7 linked regions of the Coturnix japonica genome follow. The protein of the gene in region 1 binds, or shares a complex with, the protein of each later gene. Links are inferred from orthologs where the notes say so. Each region holds a gene or a part of one and is shown in the gene's direction. Other genes may lie near its edges.

Region 1 (2,408 bases):
GGAATTTCAGAATGATTCTAGTAACTCTAATACAAGTGTATTTATTAGAGGAACTTGAATACAAGTGTATTTATTAGGGGAAGGTCTACTGCGTACATGTATAACTACAGCTACGAAGAAGAAAGAGATTTTAATTACTGCAGAACTTCTGTAGTAAAAGTGCTGAAATTTTCTTTAACAATGTGCTTGTCAAGTGCACTGTGGAAGATACTGGTTTGTGTTTCTTCAAAAGGCTGAAGACCTGTTAACACTCCAAGGTATACGGAACATGTGGCTGGAAAGTGAATTCACTATGACGCTTGTTCTGAATCTCTGATCAGTCATTGCATTTGAAGCATATTTTGATGTTTGACAGAATGACTTTCCTAATTTTTTCTGTATGAAAAACCATCCAATATTCAGAAATAATCAAACGATGCAGTCTCTTAAATACAGGAACTTTTCTTCCTTCTTCCAGGTGCCATTTCATCTGAAGAAATAATTAAATACGCCCACAGGATCAGTGCTAGTAATGCTGTTTGTGCCCCTCTGACGTGGGTACCAGGTAAATATCGTGCTTATGACTATTCTTGTTCTTGAATAATAGAGCACAATCAGTATCTGGTTTTAGAATGTTTTTACACAATGAAGGACAGTTTGATTTATTAAAGATATGTATATTTTTATAGCTGTTACATCTAGGGTTTCTGAAGAAATTTAATGATCCATACTGCACATGATGTTATGATGTGGAATTTTGACAGCAACGTTACAAAACCATGACAACTTGTCATAGAATGACTTGGGTTGCAAGGGACCTTAAAGACCATCCAGTTTCAAACCCTCCACTAGACAAGGTTGCCCAGAGCTCCCATCCAACGCAACTGTCAGTATTTCCAAGGATGGGGCTTCCCCAGCCTCCATGGGCAACCTGTTCCAGTGCTTCACCACCTTCATATTGAAGAATGGCTTGCTTATATCTAATGTAAATCTACTTTTAGATCTAATTTGGTTTATATCTAATCCCAGTCTATCACTACATGCCCTTGTAAAAAGGTGCTCTGTCCATCTTTTTTTATCAGCCTTCTTTAAGTATTGAATGATTGCAGTGAGGTCTCCCCAAAGCCTCAACCTCAACTATCTCAGTCCCTCTTCATAGGAGAGATGCTTCAGCCTTCTGGTAATCTTCATGGCACTTCTCTACACCAGCTCCAACAGCTCCATGTCTTAATGCTGAGGGCCCTAGAGCTGAACATAGTACTTAAGTTGGAGTCTCATAAGAGTAGAGAATAGAGGGAGAACCATCTCCTTCAGTCTTCTGGCCACGTTGCTGCTGCTGCAGCTCAGTATACAATTGGCTTTCTGGGCTGCAACTGTGTGCTGGCAGCTCATGCCCAATTTTTCATCCATGAGTCCCTCTTGACAGGAGTACATTTAGTGCGTTCATCCCATAATTATTTAGCTGTCAAGTAACAGAGAGAGCAAAGATATTCTGAAGTTACTGTAATGTAATTTTTGTGACAAGTTAGAATGAGCAAGAAAAGTCTCCAGTTTTAATAGAATAGGGGTGATGCTCATTCTTGATCCAGACAGGAAACCAGACACAGAAGAGAAAGATGATAATATTTTCTAATTAATATCTAATTATTATCACTGTCGTTATTAATAGGGGATCCACGCAGGCCATATCCTACAGATCTAGAAATGAGGAGTGGTCTCTTGGGTCAGATGAACAACCCATCCACCAATGGGGTTAATGGACACTTACCAGGGGATGCACTTGCAGCGGGCAGATTGCCAGGTAAGAAAAGTTCAATTTTTTATTTAATTATTCTTATTCCTCATATAGTCAGAGTAATTACAAATGTGTCTCTGCAATGGGAAATCAGAGTAAAAATGGAAATTATGGCCAGTGTTGTTCCTTAGCAGTGAAGGACTAATCGGTAAAGGTAACAGAAATTAAATATTTTTTGTTGCATTCTAAACGATACTGCAAACACTAGAACAGAGTAAATATGAGGAAAGCTCACTTAACTACCCTGTTCCACATGGGTGGTTTTTGTTCTATTCTGGCTCTGATTATCTTTAATTCTTGTTATAAGTGAGACAAAGCTGGTCTCTTTCATGGGATAGCCTTCAGGGCAATGAGAGGAGTTGAAGCACAGCTGTAGAATGGCTTATGTTGGAAAGGACCTTCAAGATCATCTAGTTCCAACCCCCTGCTATAGGCAGGGACACCTCCCTCTAGACCAGGCTGCTCACAGCCTGGCCTTGAATGCTTCTAGGAAGGGGGCATCCACAGCCTCTGTGGGCAGCTGTTCCAGTGTCTCACCACTCTCACAGTAAAGAATGTATCCATAATATCTAGTCTCAGTCTACCCTCTTCCAGTTTAAAGCAATTTCCCTTCATCTTATCACTCCATGCCCTT
Region 2 (3,500 bases), on another chromosome or scaffold:
TAACAGCCATCAAAGGTCATTACTATATTAAGCATAAAGCAAGTGTATTTGCTTTTCAGCATGGAGACTCTTATTTTCTGTAGGTTATAGTGCTGTCTAAACATTGTAAAATATCTCTTGTTTTAATTTCAATGCTGCTTCTTCCCCGTACCTCTTGTTCTAGCAATTGTTTCTCTATTCTATTCCTATTCATGTGGTAAAATCAGTAATATTAGCATGGTTTTGGGAGCTTGTATGTTTTATCTATGAGATTGTAGGTAGCCTTACTTAGTTGGTTTTTTAATGTCTGCTAACAGGCTGAGAGTTAATAGCACTGTGATTTTATGGCGGAGCATTCTGAGATACAAGTGTGAAGGAAAGACAAGTGTAACCCCACGTACCAGTGTTAGGCTTCTGGCTTATTTTATTTTGCTTATAGTCCCAGTTTTGGGTGTCCATTACATGTGAAATCTGTTGTTAGAGGCAAAAATGAATGTGTTTGTCCCTGTAGTGATTTTATTGCAATACTTTTTTTCATAGCCTGGATCTAAAAGAACAGTGAATGGTGCTGATGACAAATCCAACTGCAAAGAGGCAAAAGCAGGAAATTTAGATCCGCTGTCATGCATAAGTAAGCTTTATTTTCTTCTCTAATTAGAATACTAGCTTTAAACATTTAATTGCTAATATGCTGTGGGAATTTGGAAGCATATGCTTCCTTTGCCCTACTGAAATATTAAGACAAAGGAAATAACTCTAAATGTTGTCGCATTCTAAAGCCTACTTCTAATCTGAAATTAGGCACTGCAGATCTCCATAAAATGTATCCAACTCCACCTTCTTTGGAACAACACATCATGGGATTTTCTCCAATGAACATGAATAATAAGGAATATGGCAGTATGGACACTACACTTGGAGGAACAGTACTTGAAGGGAATAGCTCCAGTATGGGAGCTCAGTTCAGGATTGAAGTAGATGAGGGTTTCTGCAGCCCCAAACCTGCTGAAATAAAGGTAGGTAGTGTTGATAGCCCTGATATGTTTCTTATGGGTACTGCCCAGTCTATTAATTAATCCTGAGTAAGAACTGTGGGAAATTATGTGCAGTCTGTAATTTGTGTCCTACTGAGGGGGTAGGTAAGATGCATCTAGAAAACTACATGTACTATTTAACTATTTTAAACTTCAAGACAGCATAATCTCAAGTTACCCATCAGGAAATTTAAGTGATGCATATTGGTAACTTGAATTCATGGCTTCTTTTATATCGCCATATTGTTTCTGAGTGCAAATGTTAAATGTGAAAATCTCAACTTTTATTCAGTCCTTCTTTTTAGGAAGTGTTTTAATTGCTGATATCATCTAATTCACATGCTGATGCTTTACCGTATGTAATTTCTAGGATTATTCCTATGTTTATAAACCTGAGAACTGCCAAGCCTTAGTGGGATGTTCCATGTTTGCACCACTGAAGACTCTTCCCAGCCAGTGTCTCCCTCCCATCAAACTGCCAGAAGAGTGCATATATCGCCAGAGCTGGACTGTGGGGAAGCTGGATTTGCTTCCTCCAGGACCTGCCATGCCATTTATCAAAGATGGGTATGAATTATCTTTAATCTTTGTGAGACTTTGAGTTACTGACAACATAGAAAGTACTCCTCCGTTTTATTCTTTTGTAAGCATGTAACAAGAAATTTATCAAGGCAGTTTGTTCAGACAACTGACAGGAGATTGAAAAAAACTTTACACGTAAACCTTACAGCAAGAGATGATCTTCCCAATAGCTTCTTAACTGTGTGTACATCTTATTTGTTGTCTCATTTAAAGGCTTTTTGAGGAAGCTTACTGGTGGAAGTCCAGTGTTTAAATAAGTAATGATCAAGATGCATGTAAACTTGGGACTTCTTTTTTTTTGCTGTGGTTTTGTAGGTACTGCAAAGGCTTCATAGGTTATTCTTCTGTTTCTTAAGTTATTTTCTTAAATGGCCATAATCTCAGCTGTATTTGGCCAGAACAACATTTCCTCTGGTTGAAAGCTATACTCAGTACGACATTGCCTGCTAACACTAGCACTGCAGTAGGCATTCTTATAATCTGCATTTGGTTGTGATGGTTTTGTTGGCAGCACTTGAAGAAAATACTTATTCCTCCTTCTCTTCTACAGTATTAACTTCTATAGAGAGATTAGGCAACAAGGAGGCTGTGTGTTTATTGGGAAAAAAAGTGTGTGAATTCTGATTTATGTGTAATTGCTCCTTCTATTAAGGCTATTCATAAGCAGTACGTTCCCAAGTCTCATCGGTCTTGCGGGTCTTTGGAGTTATTCAACTACTTAGGGGGGAAAAAGAATTTAAACACTTCCAGGTGATGTTTTCCCCATGGATCGAACTGAATCTGCTGTTGGTACACCCAGTATATTTTCTTAGTGTTGTGTGTCAACACGGCGTATAAATAAAACATGAAAGGGAAGAGGTGCCCTTTAGGCTCTGTATATCCATAGAACTCGTAGTTCTTACTGTCTACACTTGTTTCCTGGAAGCTTTGTGGAAAGAAAAAGGCAAGAAAGGGAGGAGGGGAAGGATTCTTTAACAGCACTGACAATGGGAATTCTGCAAAGTCATTTAGAACAAACACTCTAGAAGCTCCTTAGGGAATGAAAATCTTTTTGTAGATTGTGAAAGACTACTTCAAAAAAGCAAATATTAATTAGGGAGGTCCTTGTTTAGCAATCTGAGACTGACTTGACTTCTTGGCTTTGAAATTTAAAGTATTTCTTTCTTCTTGTGGCTCCTATCAGTGACGGAAGCACTATGGATCAAGAGTATGGCCCTGCATACACACCACAAACTCATACTCCGTTTGGAATGCCCCCGGGTAGTGCACCACCCAGTAATGGTGGAGCTGGAATTCTCCCTTCTCCTTCTACCCCTCGTTTCCCAACTCCCAGAACACCAAGGACTCCTCGGACTCCTCGTGGAGCTGGTGGACCGGCAAGTGCGCAGGGTTCAGTCAAATATGAGAACTCTGATTTATACTCACCAGCTTCCACGCCATCGACGTGTAGACCACTTAATTCTGTTGAACCTGCAACTGTGCCTTCCATTCCAGAGGCACACAGTCTGTACGTGAATCTCATCCTCTCAGAGTCTGTAATGAATCTCTTCAAAGACTGTAACTTTGACAGCTGCTGCATATGCGTTTGCAATATGAACATCAAAGGTGCTGATGTTGGAGTTTACATTCCCGATCCAACACAAGAGGCCCAGTATCGGTGTACCTGTGGTTTCAGTGCTGTGATGAATAGGAAGTTTGGCAACAGTTCTGGACTGTTTCTTGAAGATGAATTGGATATTTTAGGACGTAACACAGAGTGTGGCAAAGAAGCAGAAAAACGCTTCGAAGCTCTCAGAGCTACTTCTGTTGAACATGGCAGTGCAGGACTGAAAGAACCGGAGAAACTGCCTGATGAGTTAATACTGTTGCTGCAAGATCAATGCACCAACTTGTTCTCACCGTTTG
Region 3 (3,500 bases), on another chromosome or scaffold:
ATTCTGAATGATGCGGGGAACTGTGTGTTTGTATACCCAGGGATGGCACTTTCAGTCTAAAATCCTGTACCTCTAAATGGAAAGATTTTCACTTCTTTATTTGCCACCTGTTGAAGGTGGGCTTTCTGGTTCTGACTTCTGCTGCAGTCTCAGAACTGTGTATCAGTCACTTAGAGTATTGAGATCTCTAGAAATGCTTTCTCTGTGGGTGTAGGTGTGGTATCTGCTGCTGCTCTTAGTGTTACGGAGGAACTCTGATAGCACTGTCTGTCTTTGCTCTCCTTTCAGCTGATCCTGGGAAGGAGAATGAGAAGGTGGAGTTTTTTAACCTGGTGCTGCTGTTCTGTGAGCTAATCCGACATGATGTCTTCTCTCACAATATCTACATGTGCACACTCATCTCCCGGGGTGATCTTGCCATGGATTCTCATGGACCTCGTCCTCCCTCACCCTTTGATGACCCTGCTGAGGAGCATGACAGGAAGGAGACAGAAGGAAACAGTGGGATCAAGCTAGAGGTGAGAATACAAGATACGCAGCTCTTTTATGTGCTTCCTCTTGTTCTGCTTCTCCACTCATACCAGCTTTGCAGACTCCTTGCTATTACTTGCTGGAAGATGGACCAGTGACTCATGTTTCTCATTTCCCCAAGCTATTTCCTTAGCACTTCAGTTGCAAAAGTAGAGGCTTGTGTTCTAAGTGGGTAGAAAGGTCTTGCAGAATGTAACAGGGTAGACAGGAAAATCTTACTCTGAGCAGCATATCAAGTGCTATGCAAGGCCAGTCTGTGTTGTCAGGTGTTTGCAGCATATGTGATTCTGGCTGAGTTTCGTTTGCCAGGCATCATCCTTGTTGGCAAACTGCTGTCACTGTCCAACATGGAAGTGGGGTGCTGCAGTAAATGAGTCTTGTCTTGTTTCCTGGTGTATTATTGAGATGTAAAGCTGCTCTGTCTGTTCTCAGGACACGGGTCTCTCTGAGCCTATGGACATTGACCACAATTCCAGCACGATCTTTGATGACATGGAGAAAACAGATTTTTCGGTATGTGCTTGCTGTTTTGCCTGCTACTCATAAGTAGATTATGTTGTGCTAGCACCAGGGACATGTGTGGGTTCTCCCTCTCTACTGTAGAGCTGATATGTTGGAAGTGTCTAACTTGTAAGGTAGCAGACACTGTGAAAAGTTCTTCTTGGCTTCTTTCACCTGTCTTAATTATGGCATGACCACGTTCCCTAACTGATTTGTTGTTCTTGCACCTTCCTAGATGTTTTCTCCTCCAATGCATTGTGAATCTAAAGCCAGCCCTTCCCCTGAGAAACCAGATCTTGAAAAGGAAGCAAAGCCTCTGCTGAAGGACAAGTCTGCAGAAGGAATGCTAGCATCTCTGTATGACCAGCCTCGACACATCCAGTATGCAACACACTTTCCTATTCCTCAGGTATGAGACCTGCTCGTAACCCTTTTCCTGCTGCTGCCTTGTGCTCTGATAACCAGGCTGCTGTGTTTCCCTGCAGCACTACTGTAAGCATGAACCTGACTGAACAGAGTTGAACCTGATCTCTTTCTGTTCTGTTACTGTGGGTGGGTGAGGAGTGCAGTCATGTTTTTCTGCATTGCTGCAGGAGAGTGATCTACTTAAGACACCTCTTTGCTTACTCCCAGAGCAGCTTCTGAGATGAAGCTTTCTCTTTGCTTTTATGAGATCCAGATGTGAAACAAGATTAAAGTATTCAGCTTGATAGTTGCTAATGCAGTTCTTTCTCTTGGTTCCCCAGGAGGAATCATGCAGTCATGAATGTAACCAACGGTTGGTAGTTCTTTTTGGGGTTGGAAAACAACGGGACGATGCTCGGCATACAATCAAGAAAATAACCAAAGACATCCTAAAAGTTTTAAACAGAAAGAGTACTGCAGAGACAGGTCAGTATTGCTTGAGCCAGTCTTTCCAGTTGACTGCCTCCTTTGTCTGGAGTCTCACAATGAAAGGATTTCATATGATCTGCAGTGCCTGGTTGGCTGTATCAGTCACTGACTGTCTGGGATGGTGCTCTGTTCTCAAATAATAATGAGCAGCGAATAAGATTTGTTTCCTCCTGCCTAGATGTGTTCCATTGAATCTACCTTCTTCGGTAGGTGCTTAAGTCATGTCAGTTTCAGAGTGAGACCCTGGCGAAAATCGTGGCATTTTCAAACTTTATTTTCTTAAGCTCTACCATTTAAATCTTTGCACAAAAGCAGCGGGAGCTTTGCCTGTGAATGTTAGGCAAATACCCTGATTCAGTGTAGTGTGTGCTGTTATGCTAAGCATGCTGGTTAGGGTGGCAGGTTTGGATAGTTGTGTCAATACTGCTAGGAAACCTCTAATTTCTATTGATTGAGAATCTGGCTTCAGGATTTTTTTTTTCTTTTTGTTGGCCTGATTCTTGAAAGCCAACTTGAAACATGGTGTGATTCTTCAAAGGTGGCATGCTCTAACAGGCTTCTGGGCTGAGCCATCTCCAGTCCAGAACAACTGTTCTCACCAGGGAGTCAGTGTTTCTTCTAAATGGGGGGGAATATATTTTCCCCCTTCACTCAGGATAAGCTAGATGTTAACTGTGCTGTCATTCTTTGGCTAGAAATTCTTCCCTTGACAGTTTATTGTTGTGAATTCATAATGGTCCTTATCAGCTTACAGGTGGAGGATCAGGTTCTTTGGCCATGCTGCTTGGCAGTGTCTGGTCTTGCTGAGGGCCTGGCATGTGCTGATGACTGTTTTCTATTCCTCTTCTGATGAGGAAGGTAGCCTGATACTATTTTCTAGTCCTCTCAATTTTTGTAGGTGGAGAGGAAGGCCAGAAGAGGAAAAAGAGCAAGCCAGAAGCATTCCCAACAGCTGAAGATATCTTTGCAAAGTTCCAGCACCTTTCTCACTTTGATCAGCACCAAGTCACATCTCAGGTATGAAACCTTCAAGACTGCTGTCCTCTTTGGGCCCTGACTGAATCTCTTTGTGTTACTGAGGACAGCTTCCTGCAGGGAAGAGGTGTTGGGGCTGCTGAGGGGCTTCTGCAAGGGGAGATAGCACAATGTGTCACCTTACACTTGCAGGTATCCCGCAATGTCTTGGAACAGATCACCAGCTTTGCCTTGGGCATGTCCTACCACCTGCCTCTGGTACAGCATGTGCAGTTCATCTTTGACTTGATGGAGTATTCACTCAATATCAGTGGTCTTATCGACTTTGCCATCCAGGTAAGCACAGTGCTGAAGTGTTCCCTGGGGAATCAGTTCATCAGCCTGAAAGGCAGGAGATACGTGCTGTGATAGCTGGGCTTCTGTTAGGGTTCTCTGACCTGTGTTGTGGAGGTGGTCAGAACTGATAGTCATTGCAGTTCTCCTGGGCTGCAGCTGTTAGGAATGGGTTGTTTGCAGCAGATAGTCTTATGTGCCCTGTTGGAATGATTATTCTTCCAAAGGTTTTCAGGGTTGTTTCCAAAGGATTTACATTGCACCTC
Region 4 (4,127 bases), on another chromosome or scaffold:
GCCAATGATGGAGGAGTACGCCTGGATGGTGACAAAGATCTCGGGCTGATAAATAATGTCTGAACCAGGGATTCGGAAGGGCCTTAACAATCCCACTAAGCATCGGGAAAGAGCATGAAACACTTCATCAAAAATGATCTCTCCTGTTGAGTCATCCTACAGAAACAGAAGAGGAGAATTATAGAATCATTATAGCTAAGATTACCTTGTCCAACCATCAACCCATTCCCACCACACCCACTAACTGCACCTCACATCTCCACAGCTTTTGAACACCTCCTCAGTCCTTCTGACCACACTAGTTCTGATACAAGCCAGGATGCCTTCTTGGAGACCTGGGCACACTGCTGGCCCATGTTCAGCCAGCTGTCAGCTAACACTCCTAGATCCTCTCCCTCCATAAAGCTCTCAGCCACAGCCCCTAAATCAGCAGCACTGCATGGGGTAAACAAAACAGCTTTTACATCTTCTGGAATCTGCAATCTCATTGCACCCACCACACAGAGACAAGTACAAGCCTATTTCTGCAACAGCAGCTGCCTCAGAACGACCCCTGCAAGCAGAGGTCACACATTCTGCAAGGAAACAGGATCCACTGCAAGGCTGTGTTGCCAGCAGCAGTGCCTGCTTCAGCCCTCAGGAACACAGGACCCCTGCAGGAGTGACCACTAATGCAGGGACACACATGTTCTCAGCAGAGGGAACCAAGCCTGGTCCTTTAACACAAAACACCCCAGAGAGGCAGCTCCTGGACTCACCACGATGCCAGTGGAAGGGCTCAGATCGAGCTCAATGACAAAGCGGTACTGGCGGGCCAGGAACGTAACGCGCGTGGAGGGCACCAAGAGGTAGGGCCGGGGCTGGACGGGCTCATCCGGCTGCCATCCGTTGGGCAGGATGCTGAGCACATCCAGCTCGTTTTCTGACTTCAACTACAACAAGAAGCGAACGACAAGCATGAAACATTACTCCAAGCCAAAGGACACGCCGAGATGCAGGGCCACCATCCACCCTGCAGCACCCCCGGCCCCCACTCACCAGCTCGGGCTCGGGCACAGCCCAGATGACCTGGTGCAGCCGGCTGAGCACCCAGGCGAGCCGCACGTTGCGGGAGATGCGATAGTCCTTCTTCATCAACAGGAAGACGTGCCCAGCCTCCTCCACCTGCAGCAGAAGCACAGCGCCTCGTCACTCCAGGCCGGGCACCACCACAACCCCCGACCTCTCTACACAGTTCCCGGTCTCAAAGCCGCAAACAACCCCGCCTCCCCTCGCCCCGCAGCGCGTTACCCCTCACCTCAGCCTCGGGCCTCTCGGCAGCCGCCATGTTTGCCCGGCGGCCCCGCCCCGCGCCCTCTGACCTGACTCGGAAGTGGAAGGCTGCCATAACAACAGGGCCGCGCAGCCATGCAGGTGAGGGGCTGTATGGGGTTGAGCAGGGCTGTATTGGGCTGGGCTGGGCTGGGCTGGGCTGGGCTGGGCTGGGCTAGGCTAGGCTAGGCTAGGCTAGGCTAGAGGGAGCAGTAGGCCCGTATGGGGTTCCGCTGTGCCCCGTGGGCCGGGCTTTGGAGGAGTAAAGCAGTGTGCCCAGTTGTTCGAGAAGGTCTATGGTATCTTGGCTCGTGGAGGCTCAGTGTATCCTATAGGAGCGGGGTGGTGGGCGTCCCTCTGTGCTGACATTGGTTGAGGCCGCATCTCGAGTGCTGCGTTCTGTTCTGGGCCCCTTAAGCAAGAAGGGCATTGAGACCTGAGCGTGTCCAGAGATTGCGACAGGGAAAGTGAGGGGTGGAGGCATTACAGAGAGCAGCTGGGGGAGCTGGGATGGTTCAGTCTGGATAAAAGGAGGCTCAGAGGGACCCCATGACTCCCTTAAACTCTCCAAATATTTACAATGGGGTGGAGGTCGGCCTCCTCTCCCAGGTAACAGTGACAGGATCCCTTGCTTTCCTAATAAATCCCATTATTACTTTGATTTCCTCGACTTCTTGAGCCTCAGGCTGATGTTTCCCTGGGTTACCCTCGGATAATCCTCAGATCTTGTTTGTGAGTGATAATGTTATCAGCTCAGAGAATGTCATTGTGTGTGTGTAAAGTCAGGGTTGTTTATTTCTCTTTGTTTCATTGTGTGTATTGCTTTATGTTTATTCTGAATTTCACCTTTACCTCCCAGTCATTCATTATCAGGAGTTCCTTCAGCAGTCTCTCCCGTAAATCCTATTTTATTACCCTGGGACAATTCAGTATTGTTAACAGACTCCTTGAATTGCTGCTTGTATATGTCTGTGAGAGGCAGAGTATTTCTTTGAATCATTGATCTTGGTGCACGTGTGCTTTGCGGTGCTTAAACTTACTTCCAGCTCTCATGGAGAGAGCACACAAAAGGAGGAGGCTCAGACTGCACTGTCACACAGTGTAGTGTGATTTCATTCACAATCTTTAGGGCTTCTTGGATACGCGCTGGCAATGGGCCACACCAGTTGTCTTGGTTGTGTGTACCTGCCACCTCTGCAGTGAGATACTGGCTCCCAGCCCAACTCGTAGTGCTGTCAGTGGTTCATCTTGCTCAAACACAACGTGCACAGTCAGCGTTAGACTTGTTTCTTAAGTGCACAGGAACAGACTAGTCCCATCACAGGATGGCGGAGAGCTGCAGTGCTGTAGCTGTGAGTTGTAACCCCGTGGTTTGCTCTGTTAATCCATGCTGTGGATTGGAAGTGGATTTTAGCCACATTTATTTTGCCATTTCTTCTAAGGTAGTGAAGTCTTATCAGCAGTCTATGGAAAAAAAAACAAAACCTTTATAGTCTTGTCAGACCGTGAGTAGAATAATTTCATGTTCTCTTAAATGTGGAAGATACTTGATGATCTCATGCTAGTTTCAGTTTGTTTAAACAGCACAAGGATCCCAATAGTGAGCGTGCAAGCAGACTGAGTCACCCCATCTGCTTTCCCAATCAGCATTCCCTTTCTATTATTTAACTGTATTGCTGTGTCTCACCCTCCTCGTGGATTATTGTTGTACAGTCCTTGACTTACATTAGCAGTCCATTAGGATTGGGGCTTTAATTACATTTTGTGCAATTCTGTTGAATGAGTAAGAATAGATAAGGTTCTAGAGGGTTTTCGCAAGAGTCGGAGATATTCTGTGCTATATGTGACAACAGGTCTCCTCTCCTATTGCTTTGTATGTCACCATACTCCTCTCAGCTAGGGGAGAAGATTATTTAAGCAGTGCACCAAGGCAAAAGGCAGCAGGTGATCTCTGCATGTGTCTAACTACGTCACTGACACTGCAGCGCCTTCCACAGCTGGTAAGGGACAAGGAATTTTTAGGAGCTGGATGCAGCACCTGGACAGGAAGAAAGTGAGAGATGAGGGTAAGGGCAGAAACTGGAGTCTTTGGGCCACTGATCTGATACTTGTTTTGCAAATGGCTGTGCTGGGTGAAGACATCACTGTGCCTGCTGTCAAAGGGTGCTGAGAATGCTAATCTGCTTTCAGCTGGGTTAGCATGAATAACTCACGGAGGTGGTGCAAGGTAACTTTGATGACTTTGCCTGATGCAAGTGATGTATAGGCTTTACTTATCTAGATCTTAAAAATGACAGCTAGCCATGGGTTGGCTCAGGTACGAGTCTCTTCCTAAATGTTTCTTACAAGGAGACAAGATAAGTGTGAAAATGTAGGATTTTTATCTACGTGGTCTCTGTTTCCTTGCCTTGAAGAGGAGTCTCTCCATAGGAGAGGGTGGAATATGGTTGCAGATGTATGGATCCCCACAGTCCTTGGAAAGGTACAAAGCTTTGTCCTCACCCCTATCTTTCATTCTTTTTTTCAGAGAGAGGAGAAGCAGCTGGAGCTGACCCTGGAGGCACTCATCAGCCAGGTGGCTGACCTGAAGAACTCATTGGTCAGTTTTATCTACAAGCTGGAGAATGAGTACGATCGACTCACATGGTAAGGCATCCCACAGAGACAGGGCACTGTCACTGATCGCTGCTGAAGCTCTTCTAGACTCTGCCCAAAAAGTGTAATTAAAAGCCACTAACTTGCTCTCCACAGGCTTACCTTCACTTTTCATGTTAACGTTGGTGAAACTACTGAGTATCTCCCACCCGAAAAACAGT
Region 5 (4,230 bases), on another chromosome or scaffold:
TGTCTAGAATTACTACTGCAGCAAAGTGTCCCTTTTTGGAGTGTAATTTTAAACTCTGAATAGCTTTATTTGCTTTGGGTAGAAAACCTTATCTGATCTGTTTGTTAGCTAGTGGCTGTTTTATATCTAGATCTACTATGAGCATGCTCTCAAAATGCATTAGGAAAACAAGGGTTCAGCACCAGTGCTCAAACAGAGAATAGGGTTAGCAGTTCAGCTCCTATAAAAAGTGAAACTGAGGCAGTGATGTTATGATTTGATGATGATAAAAAGGAAAATTCTTGGCTCAAACACACAGCTTAATACCTCTTCCCTGAAAGTCTGACTAAGCTAATATTTAAAAGCATAAATAAATCCAGCTTTTCCTAGAGAATGTTCTTAGTTTTTGTAATATGACTCCAACTTTCAATTTTGTTCCTAGTTTTGATGGCCAAGAATTGCGTTCTTGCACTTTACTCTGGCAAACCTACGTAGTAATTTAATTCATGTGACCAAGCCTTTCTTAGGATTCTCTCCTCTGAAGTCAGTCTTGGGAGATACATCGTGTTCCAGAATAGCACTGCCAATGCGTGGGATATGTTTGATCTCTGCTTTTAGACAAAAGTCTGTATTTACTGGGGAGTGACCTGCTAATTCTGTTATAGTAATGGTAGTACTCCACAACCACTAAAACCTTGGGGAAAAAAGAAACAAAACACAAAATTATTTTATTAAGGAAAGCAATGCAGAAGTCTTTTTTTAGGTGGTCTTATAGCCTAATTTCTATTGGGGCTGGAGGGGAACAGTTACACTACATAGAAAGAGATAGCACTACAGGAAAATGCTGAGACACTGAAAATAGTTTAACAAATCACAAATTTTAAAAAAGAATTAGGATTCGTGTTGAGCCTGTATAGTGCAAACTGTTACACAAGTGCCTAATAATGCAATCATAGCAGCAATGGAACTCAGGTAGCTTGACAGTGCTAAACCCCACCAGTCTTTGTTTTAACCAAGATATGAACATCCAGTGTGTGACCCCAGACATGAATGCAGCATTAGGAATAAATCTGCAACCTAAGTGCTGAACTCTTCTCCAGGTGCAATAGCATAGTGCTGTTCTGCACCCCTGGCGCATCTGTTTAACTGGTTTCACTACGACATAACTTCTTAATAAATAAACTGCAGAGGTTGTGTGAGATCAGCTCAGCATGAGCTGCCAGGGGGAAAGGGGAAAGGGAACGGGAAAGGGGAAAAGGGAAAAAGGGAAAGGGAAAAGGGAAAAAGGAAAAGGGGAAAGGGAAGAAAGAAAAGCACACACATGCCTAGGAAAAAATCCATCCCAGAACATTGCTCCTACAGGTACCTTCCAATCGTACTGCCTGTCTGGTAACAGCTCTCTTTCAAGACAAGGGGAAAAAAAGTTGCTCCAACTTTAGTTTATTTCAAAAGGTCATTTTCTACACAACTCGCATCATTAACGCAGCTCCTCACCACCACAGACCTTCCCATCTTGCCTCGTTGCGCCTCCCGCCTAACTCCCGCCTGCCGACAGCGGGCGCTCCCGCCGCCATTTTGAGGCCGGGCGGGGAGCGGAGCCCAGCACGCCGCCATGGACGCAGGTGAGCGGCGCGGTGCGGTGCGGTTCGGGCAGGGCGAGCGACTCCGGGCCACGGAGAGCGTCGGTGGTCCTGCCGTGCAGAGTTCGGGCGGTTCGGGAGCGATGGGCCGACAGGCTCCGAATCGTTTTCCTCGGGAGGGGCCCGGGGCGGTCCTGCTGCGCTGCCCTCCCGGCTTGGCCCTTCTCAGGCCGTTGGCCCCGTTGGGGCCCTTCGCGACGTTCATGGAGACACCGCGGCTCTTACCTGCCCGGACGCCATGGCAGCGGACATCCCACGTTGCATCTGTGGTCGAGGAGCTGAATCTTTTATAGACCCCGAGTGTTTGGATGGAGGGGACTTTATTTACAGATCGGACCTCCCGCCAGAGCGGCCTGCGCGGTGCCCCTTCCAGCCTTCCCTTGTGCAGCTCCAGGGATGGGGCCCCCACAGAGAGGGGCGGCCCGTGCCGGGGCCTCACCGCCCCTCGGAGAAGAATTTCTTCCTAACATCTAACCTGAGTTTCCTATTGTTTGAGTTTAAAGCTGTTCCTTCTTGTTCTGTTGTTTTCAGTCAGGGTGGAAAGTCAACATATTTTTCTATAAGCTCCCTTTCCACGCTGAAAGACCAGAGTGAGATCTCCCTGAGCCTTCTCCAGGCTGAGCAAGCCCAGCTCCCTCACCCTTTTGTCATAGGACAGCAGAATCTTGTGCTGACCCCTGGGTCTGTCATCAGTGCCTACTGTACACCAATAGTGTGAGAACACTGCAGGATTCTCACTAAACTGAGACATCTCTGTACAAAACAAACAAAACAAAAAGCAGCCTCACGGTAAGCATTTCTTAAATTATGTGCAAGGAGGCTTTCAGTGAGCTGCTGGTAGTGTTCTTTTCTTGCCTTCTTATATTTTCCTTGCACTAAAAGCAGGCCCCTTTCCCTTCCCTTTTCATATATTCTACATAAAGTGTCAGAGAGCATTTCTCCATTATTTGCATCGTTTTTAGTTGTTAAAAAAACAAACAAACAATAGTACATGTATTAACATGGGCCCAACACTTATTCATGTAATAGAAAAGACTGCTAGATGAGCCCATACTTGTGGGCTCTTGGTGCTTTATCTCCTCTCTAAACGTTTCTATTTTTGTGGCTCAAGTTGAGAAACTTACTTTTAAATCTGCCATGTAAGTCCAGTTTTTACTGTTTTTTTTTTTTCTCTTGTATTCAGATGATACAGGAAATCGACTTAGGTTCCAGTTGGAGTTGGAGTTTGTTCAGTGCCTAGCAAATCCCAATTACCTCAACTGTGAGTACTTAATGTCAGGGATCCTGAGAAGTTAATGTTATTTAACAGTTTAATGATTACGTGTAATGGTAAACTGTGTGTGTGTGTGTGTGTGTGTGTGTGTGTGCAGAGGCGAAGGGTAAACAAAGAAAAGGGAAGAGATCTTTAAGGAAAAAAGTAGTCTGAGGATAATTTAATTTGTCCGAATTTCAAAGGTGAGGTAGAAGAGGGAGGAGATGACACCTTTAAAATGTGAAATGATTATTTCTTGAAATAAAACACAACTGTCTGGTGGAGAATAAGTGCACATCTGTAGTAGAAAATAAATAATAATAATTACATTTCAATCTTAGAAGTACTCATATCTGAAACCAACATTTCACTAATGCTTATAATAGTTTCAGGTGGAATTCTTAATTTCTTTGGTTTTCCCTGACAGTTTTGATGTCAGAAGTTCCTATTTTTGAAGACATCGCATCCTTGTTGCTGTATAAAAGTTATATGCTAACTCACTATGCTTAACTTGTATTAGAGTGTTGACTTAAGATATATTTTTCCCTTTGTGTTTTTTTTTTATTGAGTTGTAAAAAATTCCTTGTCTCTTATTTCAGTTCTTGCACAAAGAGGATACTTCAAAGACAAAGCTTTTGTAAACTATCTTAAATATTTACTGTATTGGAAAGAACCTGAATATGCAAAATACTTGAAGTAAGTATTAAAAGCCCTCAGGTTTCTGCATTTTAATGATTTTTACCTTCTCTTATGCACTGTAAAGTAGCATGTGCATATTTGATTTCTCCCTGCAGCCAAAACATGCACTGTGTTTATATGCAGTATAAATTTTCCTGTTTCCTGTAGTCTGGGATAGGCACAATTAAAGAACGTTTCATTCTTGACATATGCATGGAATTTTCCATTTGCAACCTTTATCTGCACCTTCTATCTGCATAAAGCAAGATTACTGAACATCACGGGACAAAACTACTTCAGCCCATTAAGAACATTCTGAGAGTGATTTTTGCCCTGTTGATAGCTACACAAAGAATCGTTTTTTTTCATTTTTTTAATTAATGTTTAAACTCAGTTATTGAAATTTTTTTTGTTTACTTCAAATGAGCTCTGGAAAGAGCTATTTAATTAATTAGTTTTTGTTTTAATGAAATCTAGTATTTATAAAAGTTATTTTAATCAGCTCCGTGTATGTATTTATATTGTTATTGGATTCCCTGTTTTCTAGCCTTGTAGTTACTGAAGGTATTAAGTTACAGTGTATGGAAAAGGTACAGCGCTCACTGTTTCAGGTACTTGAGTAAGGCACTAAATGACTAAAATAATGGAGAGATACTGGAGACTCCAGTTCTAGTGCACCTT
Region 6 (3,520 bases), on another chromosome or scaffold:
GTGAATCTACTGCTTACACTGAGATAAATGAAGTCAGAAAATCACACTGTTCTGTAATACTACAGGGTTGGGGTTGTTTTGTTTTTTGTTTTATTTTATTTTTTGCTTTAATTCCTTTTAAACTTTTTTGAGGGGGAATATTTATTTTAAGATTTTTTTTTTTTAATGGAATGTACTAATTAAGGGAATTCAGTGAAATGTCATGTTAATGCAACAGATTTTGTATTAAAATTCTGTACTTGGACCAGTGAAGCAGTCTCAGGTGTTCTTAATGTAATATAGAAAACACAGGCGTGTTCTGGTTTGATTCACCTTCTGGAAGGTTGCTGTCAGCATCACCCTGTCCAGCTGATCATGGGAGGAGAACTGTTCATGTGCTTGATGATCTTCTTAGGGGGCAGAGGTGGTGGCAGATCAGTGGTTTGGCCTAGATGTGTTCGCTACAGGAATGTGGTGGAGCTTTTAAACGGGTGTCTAGCAGAGGTGCTCTTTAAAATTCAGCTTCAATGTAAGTCATATGGGTTGTCTTGTAGTGCATCACCAAATCAACATTATTGTAATGAGCTCACAAAGCTGCTGTGCAAGCATGAAGACGTACTACATGCTAGATATGCTACGACAGCATGCAAATACCATGGATGCACATCTTCCTGGAGTATTGTTAATAGCTGTCACTTTATTTGAGGAAGATCTACTTTATTTCTGTGTTCACTCAGTGAGCTTATTTAAAGTAACGCTGTACTGACAATAAACAGTGGCTCAACGTTCATTATGATGGATTTAACTGGCTGTAGAATTAACATTTTGTATTATGACTAAGTCGTGTACATTTTGGTACAGAACTTCTTTTTCAGTTTGAGTAAAATAATCCTAGATTTACTGGCTTAATTGTGATACTTTCAGATTACCTCATGATGCAGTGAAATAACCTAGCAAACAAAAGGTTAAGGAAAACTGTCCAGCATACAGTGCAGTATTAAAGACTGAAGTGGGTCTGTGATACCAGCACTTCTCACCTGGTATTGCAGAAGCCGTTACATTAAAAAAATCCCTTTACAAGTACATCAAAGTAAGAGGAGAACCAAGGAAAATGCCCAACCTTTACTTGATGCAGCGGGGAACGTGATCACTGAGGAGAAGGCTGGGATTCTCTGAGGAGGAGAAGGCTGAGTTCCTCGATGCCTTCTTTACATCTGCCTTTAAGGGGCAGTGCTGTGTGCTTGGGGATGAATAACTGGATGTCTGTGAGGAGGAAAGGGAGCTGGTCGATGTTCGGCTGCTCCTCACCGCCAGGCCGCACTGTGGCGCCCGCCTCCTCCTTCAGGCCTTGCCTTTCTTCCCGCCGCCATCTTTACCACAGCCGCCAAGATGGAGGCGCCTCCCGTCACCATGATGCCCGTTACGGGCGGCACTATTAACATGATGGAGTACCTGCTGCAAGGTATGGCCGGCACACAGGGGCTGTACACGGGGCTCGGCCGCAGCGTGGGGCCGAGGCGGGCGGCGAAGGGGAGGTACCTCCCCGCGGAGGCCCCTTCGCCGCCTGCCTCGGCCCCGCGCTGCGGCGGGGAAGGGGCCATCGTCTGAGCCGTGTGTGTCCACCACAGGGAGCGTCCTGGACCAGAGCCTGGAGAGCCTGCTGCACCGCCTGCGTGGGCTGTGCGACAACATGGAGCCGGAGACCTTCCTGGACCACGAGATGGTGTTCCTGCTCAAGGGGCAGCAGGCCAGCCCCTTCGTGCTGCGTGCCCGGCGATCCATGGATAAAAGCGGCATGCCATGGCACCTGAGGTACCTGGGGCAGCCGGAGATCGGAGATAAAAACCGACACGCTTTAGTGCGAAATTGTGTGGACATCGCCACCTCGGACAACCTGACGGATTTCCTGGTGGAGATGGGGTTCCGTATGGATCACGAGTTCGTGGCTAAGGGACACGTGTTCCGAAAGGGGATCATGAAGATTGTGGTGTATAAGATCTTCCGTATCTTGATGCCTGGTAACACGGACAGCATCGAGCCGCTTTCCCTCTCCTACCTTGTAGAGCTTAATGTTGTGGCACCAGCCGGACAGGATATGGTTTCTGATGATATGAGGAACTTTGCAGAGCAGCTGAAGCCTTTAGTACACCTGGAAAAAATTGACCCTAAGAGGTTAATGTGATGAAAACTGGCTTGACTATCATAGCATTGCTGTAGCCAGAAGTGAGTGCAGGGACTGGTTGGAGTCCTATGCACACAGAACTTTTGTTCAGGGCTCCACTGCTTCCTCTCTGTGCTGGAGCAGTAAGCAGTATTAAGGTGCAACACTTATAAATAGAGATATTGACTTTATGTTGTTGGGGAGCAAGGGGTAAAAGGCTTTGATGTATTGGTTTTGTTTTTGTTTGATGCTCAGCCAGCATTTGGTATTTGGTTATGCAGGTTACATATATGCATAAGAGCAGAATGTATGTAATTCCCAGAGATGGAAGAGAATAAAAGTCTGTTTAGTGCATTATTCATTGGATAGTCGGTCCCTGATGTCTGAAAGGAGTAGTTGCAGGAATTGCTTAGTTTTAGATTTGAAAGACCTGAAAGATTCCCTCCTAGCAAATCCAGACTGGGAGCTGTTTGTTATTGGAAGCAGCTTTGTTGTTAGTGTAGAACAGGAAGCTCTGGGTCTGCAATTATAACCTGGGGGGAAGAAACAGAATTAAGACCCTTCACAGCCAATATGTTGGCTCAGAAAGTTGAGCCCAGTGCCCCCGAATGTGCCTGTAGAGAGTCAGGTGGATGGGGCCAGGCTTTGACTGTTGTTGCCCAGTGTTGGGACACAGGAAGGTCCATCTCAAAGTGAGGAATTACTGCTTCATTTGGGGGTGACGTGGAGCAGGCTGCACAGAGAGGCTCCTTCCTGCTTACAGCCACTTCCATCAGCCCAGCACGATGCATTAGTTTCACAAAAGCAAGGTCAGGCATCCCACTATTTCTGTGTTTTTGTGCTCTTTGTATGTTTTATTAAAAATATATCTTCAAAAATACCCGTCAGCTATTTGCATTAATTTTGTATTTTCTTTGCAATTCTTTTTCACTCAATACAAGCCAGTATTTTGGGCAAACATGAAGTAGTCTTCATTTCTCAAGATCATTATGGAAACGTACAACCACGCTGCCTTTTACTAAAACACACCAATTGCTGTCAGTCGCTGTCATGCTTTAACAGCACGAATGTTGCTGTATCTCCAGCACTCCTCAGCCCTGGGTCTCCATTCTCCCCACACACTCTCCCCTAATGTTGTTATTTCTGTACAAATGAACACAGAAGCTGAAGTACAACTTTGGAAGCACTCTATATTGTCTAACATGCTTCTGATATGCGAGTGCAGGGTGAGACGTTTCACACATCAACAGCTTATGTGGATATTCCAGCTTTCACTTCAGCAACCTCGGTAACACAGTCAAGCTGCTTTCTGCTAAGTGCTTTACATACACTGTAGTGTATGTGTATGAAGCGGCATACAGCTTCAGACACAACCCAAGG
Region 7 (4,270 bases), on another chromosome or scaffold:
TATCTGAGGTGTGCGGGGAAAAGTGGCGAGGCCAGACTCTTTTCAGCAGTGTGTGGAGGCAGGAAATGGACAGAAACTGGAGCATAGGAAGTTCTGCATGAATGTGAGCAAGAACTTCCTTACAGTGAGGGTGAGGGAGCACTGGGACAGGCTGCACAGGGGGGTGGTGGAGTCTCCTTCTCTGAAGATATTCAAGGTTCACCTGGACGCTGAGCTGAGTGACCTGCTGTAGGGAACCTGCTTTGGCAGGGGTTGGACTCGATGTTCTCTGGAGGTCCCTTCCAACCCCTACGATGCTGTGATTCCGTGATTTCATAGCCGAGTTCCACACGTCGGGTATCTCCCAGGTCCCTTTACACCAGTCCCACCACATCGGTGTGCGAAGCTCCTCCGGACACTTGGAGGCCCTACGAGCCGGGCCAAGCTCTCGCTGTGAGCGGGACCCTGCGGGGCAGTCCGTGCGTTCCCGCTCTCGGATCCAGTTCGCGGACTTGGCAGGTGCTGCGAGACACCGCCGGCTGGAAGGGGCGGCACAGCGACCGCACAGCGGCCGCCCCGAGGCCGCCCCCCGCCCGCAGCGCGCTCCTCCCGCCCGGAGCCCTCAGGGCGGCGCCCAGCAACTTTCCCCCGCCCGGGGTCGATGGCCCCGCTCCGCTGCCGGCCGCAGCTCCCAGCTCCCGGCACAGCGCCCCCAGCGCAGCGCCCCCAGCGGCGCGGAGGATCTTTGCGGCGGAGGAGGGAGGGGCCGGGGGGAGCCCCAGCGCCGTGCCCCCGCCCTCCGCCGCGAGTCACGTGGGGAGGCGCCGACCAATGGCGAAGCGAGCTGCGGCTGGCGGCCGCCATTGCTGTCAGAGTGGAGAGAGGCAGAGGCGAGTGTGTGAGGAGGAGCGGGTGAGCGGGGCCGCCGTGCGGGCAGCGCCAGGCGGAGGGGGGCGAGGACGGGCACGGACAGCGCTCCCACTCCGGGCCCGGGCCGCCGCCCGCCTCCCGCAGCACCGGGAGACCCGCACGGAGCGTAAACAAGGCGGCGGCGGCGGCAGCAGGAGGAGGAGGAGGAAAACACCATCCACCCACCGCCAGCGGCGGCAGCAGCGAGGGGCGGCCGGGCGGGGCGGGGAGGGACACGGGCTCCGCACAGCGCCCCCCGCCCGCCGTCGCCGCCACTGCCCGCCGCCCTCCCCCGCCCCGCAGGGGCCGCCGCCGGACCGCGGGAGGAGCCCCGAGCCCCGCCGCGGCCGGGGGGGCCGGCGCTGGACGCGGAAGAAGGGCCCCGGGCCCCCCCACCCCTCTCCTCCTCCTCCTCCTCCTCCTCTACCTCCTCCGCGGTGCTGAGGCGGCCTGGAGGCCCGCGGGAGGGCTGCCCGCCGCCGCCGCCGCCTGCTGAGCGGCCCCCGCCGGAGCGGGCCCCCGCCGGAGCGGGCCCCCGCCGGAGCCGCCTGAGCGCCGCCCCCCCGCCCGCCGGCACAGCAGCGCTCCCGGGGCAGCGGGCAGCGCCCGGCAGCGCCCGCAGCCTCCCCCCGCCGCCGGGCCCCGCTCCTCAGACATGCCCCGCGCTGGGGCTCGCCGAGGATCATGACTGCAGCGGCCAACTGGGTGGCGAACGGGGCCAGCCTGGAGGATTGCCACTCCAATCTCTTCTCGCTGGTGAGTGCCCGAGGAGGTGAGGGGTTGGGAAGTGGGGGTTGTGGGGAGGGCGGGCCGGCACGGCGGCTCGCACCGGGCGCTGCGGGTTTGGCGCCGGGTGCGGCTGCCGGGGGCTTTATAGCCCGGGCCGTGGGGCTGCTCCTCCGCTGGCCCCTCCCCCGGCGCGGCGCCCTCGGCCGTGTCTCTCCGTGTCTCTCCGTGTCTCCCCGTGTCTCCGCTCGGTGCCCCCGGGCCGGGGTTGCTCTATTGTCGCTGTGACAGCAGCATTAGGGCGGCAGCGGGCGGGCACGGGGCGCTGCGCGGGTCTCGGGCCGCTGTCAGATCCTGGTACGGCCCCGCCTGGCACAGTGCCTGCCCCGGGACACCATGGGTGCAGAAATAATCATTTATTCCATCCCTGGGGTGAAACAACCGAAGATGTTGTCTGCCGGGTAGCACTGATGCTGTATTTCTCCGTCGTTGGTAATGGACAACTTTGTACTTGGATTGATTGTTTGGTTTAATGGTGCAGGAATTATGTTATTGGCTGTTTCCACGCAGAAGCAGCGTCCCTTGGAAGCCGGTTTACCAGCAGGCTGTGCACCTGCTGCCCACAGCCCCTGTTTCTGGCTGGGCATGGCCGTGCTGGGGGGGCTGGCAGCCAGGTGGGGTTGGGGGCTTGATGTGTGTGTGGGAATGCACGGTGCGGGGTGGGGATGGAGGGGGGGGCGTTGGGCCCTTCCCCTCTGTGAGCGCTGGATGTGGCTGGTGGTGGTGGGGTCTCATTTCCAGCAGAAAGGAGGGGAGTGCTGTTGGTTGTCTTGCAAGAAGGAAGGGAAAGAAGAAAATGGACTGGAAATGTGAATGATGTTTTTGTTGAACGTTTTTCTTTTCATTGCTGTGTGTCATTGTTATGCCTCCGTCTGCTGGCTTCTCTGTTATTTTGTTGCTCTTATTTGTTACTTTGTTCATACCTATGGAGAATGTGGAGCAGGAGCCCTCAGCGCTCAGCTACTGGGAAAGGAGTCCCGGCCTCCTTCTGTGGGAATGAATGCAAGTCTAATTTTGGCTTTTTCATGAACTTGTTCCATCACCTGGCCTTGTGCATGGGCTTTCCCTTGGCGGTGCTCTCTGAGCCGTAACTGCATGTAGGAAGCAGTGCTGTGTGTGCAGAGCTGTGGGAGCTGTTGTGGGGACTTTGAATGTACTGCTCATACATGTGAAGGAAGAATGGTGAGCATGAGGGAGACGGCTGTATGGATGGACAGAGGAACGGAGTGCTCTCTGCTTTGTGTACGGAGCCGTGAGGTCCCCATTTATTCATGGAAAAGTGATTATTTTTGAGGTGTGTAACTTTACATACTTGCAAACTGCAGGTCTGCCTTTGGTTAATAGAAATAATGGTTGGCATGCAATTGGCATCCGTCATGATCTGAAGTTACTACATAGTGACTGCAGCGTGGTCTGTCTGCTTTGTGTTTCACCCTGCTGTGCTGGGGAAATGGGAGCTTTTCAAATAGGGCTGTGATCCCGTCAAAATGCAGGTGGGCTTCATAGTAATTATGATTTTAATTTGTGATCTCTTTGTTTCTCAGGTAATTTTGTGGGAGGCATCCATACCTGTAATGTGGTACTGTGCATCCAGCTGTAATGATTTTATTATTTTCAGGGTCTACTTGCAAACAGAAGAATATCCATTATGTATATACTTGTATGTATGTGTGTGTATGTATGTATACACACATATATGTATATATACATATACATATATATATACAAATGTGCTAACTATTGGTGTGATTTGTTTTCAGGTAAATTGATATTTGTTATGGTTTATGTATCAGTGAAGGATACTGAAGAAGGAAATAGGGACTGGGAGTGCGTGGCCAGCAGAACTGACCTTACAGCCTCAAATTGTCCTACTCATTTAAAAACTTATGAAGTGTTAAAGGTGCAGTAGTTGGGGTTACTAATGGGAGAAAGTTTTGCTCATCACTTACTCTTTCAGTGCAACAGAACAGAAACATGCACAAATGAATCAGCTGTTGATGGGAACTCATTCACTTTGTAGGAGTGAGGTGAATTACTGAGCTGTATGAAACCCATTCTGCCATTAGACACTGAGTATTACAGTTCATTGTAAATCTCCAGCTTCGTTTTGGGCCTGAGTCAAAAAGAAATGTTCTTGCCTGGAGAATTACAGTTCAGAAATAGTACTTCTGTTTGTTCGTGTTGAAGCAATGTTTTTCCCCACAAACATTCCCTTTGTCTAAGGAGGAACAGCAGCTCCTGTGTCGGAGGAGCTGGGCTGTGCTGTACGACTGAGGTTGGCTTTGGGGTGTTTGTCACCCCATCATTTCCAGCTTGTTTGTCTGTCAGCTGTAGATGGACTTTAGAGAGATGGTGGCACTGCTGTTTGTTTGAGTCTTCATGGGGAAATATTCCTGGAAGTATCTTACTGTCATGAAAAATATTTTCTAAAGCTTTCTAGTAACTGTTTACGTTTTGTCAGTGGTGCCCGGAATGTGTAGAGGCTCTTAGTTTAAAATATGCCACCTGAGGGGAAGGCATAGTCTTAAGGTTATAAAATGAGCTCTGATCGTGCACATATCAGAAGTGATGTCCGGCACCAGCAGTGGTGTTCAAG

The links.
Region 2: MED4 (region 1) and MED13 share a complex: the UniProt entries of both Homo sapiens proteins name them as parts of the mediator complex. The link is inferred for Coturnix japonica from reciprocal best matches to the Homo sapiens genes MED4 and MED13.
Region 3: MED4 (region 1) and MED12 share a complex: the UniProt entries of both Homo sapiens proteins name them as parts of the mediator complex. The link is inferred for Coturnix japonica from reciprocal best matches to the Homo sapiens genes MED4 and MED12.
Region 4: MED4 (region 1) and MED8 share a complex: the UniProt entries of both Homo sapiens proteins name them as parts of the mediator complex. The link is inferred for Coturnix japonica from reciprocal best matches to the Homo sapiens genes MED4 and MED8.
Region 5: the proteins of MED4 (region 1) and MED31 are in contact, whole or in part, in a cryo-EM structure (PDB 8TRH), measured with the Homo sapiens proteins. The link is inferred for Coturnix japonica from reciprocal best matches to the Homo sapiens genes MED4 and MED31. Residues at the interface, in NP_054885.1 of Homo sapiens: Glu147, Tyr151, Arg154, Ile155, Asn159, Ala160, Val161, Cys162, Ala163, Pro164, Trp167, Arg173, Arg174, Pro175, Tyr176, Pro177, Met182, Leu186; in NP_057144.1 of Homo sapiens: Gln19, Glu23, Gln26, Cys27, Ala29, Asn30, Pro31, Ala64, Lys65, Tyr66, Leu67, Lys68, Tyr69, Pro70, Gln71, Asp98, Ile102, Trp105, Gln106, Tyr108, Ser109.
Region 6: MED4 (region 1) and MED18 share a complex: the UniProt entries of both Homo sapiens proteins name them as parts of the mediator complex. The link is inferred for Coturnix japonica from reciprocal best matches to the Homo sapiens genes MED4 and MED18.
Region 7: MED4 (region 1) and MED13L share a complex: the UniProt entries of both Homo sapiens proteins name them as parts of the mediator complex. The link is inferred for Coturnix japonica from reciprocal best matches to the Homo sapiens genes MED4 and MED13L.

The regions. Positions count from the first base shown.
Region 1 is NC_029516.1:150,967,448-150,969,855, reverse strand, and holds part of MED4 (mediator of RNA polymerase II transcription subunit 4), read left to right. Parts: intron 1-457; coding exon 458-544; intron 545-1,648; coding exon 1,649-1,780; intron 1,781-2,408. UniProt on the Homo sapiens protein: Component of the Mediator complex, a coactivator involved in the regulated transcription of nearly all RNA polymerase II-dependent genes.
Region 2 is NC_029534.1:6,204,635-6,208,134, forward strand, and holds part of MED13 (mediator of RNA polymerase II transcription subunit 13), read left to right. Parts: intron 1-519; coding exon 520-610; intron 611-780; coding exon 781-995; intron 996-1,383; coding exon 1,384-1,580; intron 1,581-2,778; coding exon 2,779-3,500. UniProt on the Homo sapiens protein: Component of the Mediator complex, a coactivator involved in the regulated transcription of nearly all RNA polymerase II-dependent genes.
Region 3 is NC_029519.1:2,315,195-2,318,694, reverse strand, and holds part of MED12 (mediator of RNA polymerase II transcription subunit 12), read left to right. Parts: intron 1-288; coding exon 289-518; intron 519-963; coding exon 964-1,044; intron 1,045-1,267; coding exon 1,268-1,441; intron 1,442-1,778; coding exon 1,779-1,923; intron 1,924-2,824; coding exon 2,825-2,943; intron 2,944-3,093; coding exon 3,094-3,237; intron 3,238-3,500. UniProt on the Homo sapiens protein: Component of the Mediator complex, a coactivator involved in the regulated transcription of nearly all RNA polymerase II-dependent genes.
Region 4 is NC_029523.1:17,388,685-17,392,811, reverse strand, and holds the start of MED8 (mediator of RNA polymerase II transcription subunit 8), read left to right. Parts: upstream 1-1,327; 5' UTR 1,328-1,407; coding exon 1,408-1,413; intron 1,414-3,353; exon of another isoform or gene 3,354-3,371; coding exon of another isoform or gene 3,372-3,377; intron 3,378-3,838; coding exon 3,839-3,957; intron 3,958-4,127. Other genes in the region: KICSTOR complex protein SZT2, read right to left, coding at 1-156, 759-932, 1,039-1,164, 1,298-1,327. UniProt on the Homo sapiens protein: Component of the Mediator complex, a coactivator involved in the regulated transcription of nearly all RNA polymerase II-dependent genes.
Region 5 is NC_029534.1:8,576,362-8,580,591, forward strand, and holds the start of MED31 (mediator of RNA polymerase II transcription subunit 31), read left to right. Parts: upstream 1-1,430; 5' UTR 1,431-1,591; coding exon 1,592-1,601; intron 1,602-2,802; coding exon 2,803-2,880; intron 2,881-3,470; coding exon 3,471-3,567; intron 3,568-4,230. UniProt on the Homo sapiens protein: Component of the Mediator complex, a coactivator involved in the regulated transcription of nearly all RNA polymerase II-dependent genes.
Region 6 is NC_029547.1:21,930,463-21,933,982, reverse strand, and holds MED18 (mediator of RNA polymerase II transcription subunit 18), read left to right. Parts: upstream 1-1,255; 5' UTR 1,256-1,368; coding exon 1,369-1,441; intron 1,442-1,607; coding exon 1,608-2,161; 3' UTR 2,162-3,020; downstream 3,021-3,520. UniProt on the Homo sapiens protein: Component of the Mediator complex, a coactivator involved in the regulated transcription of nearly all RNA polymerase II-dependent genes.
Region 7 is NC_029530.1:10,336,921-10,341,190, forward strand, and holds the start of MED13L (mediator of RNA polymerase II transcription subunit 13-like), read left to right. Parts: upstream 1-1,470; 5' UTR 1,471-1,572; coding exon 1,573-1,644; intron 1,645-4,270. UniProt on the Homo sapiens protein: Component of the Mediator complex, a coactivator involved in the regulated transcription of nearly all RNA polymerase II-dependent genes.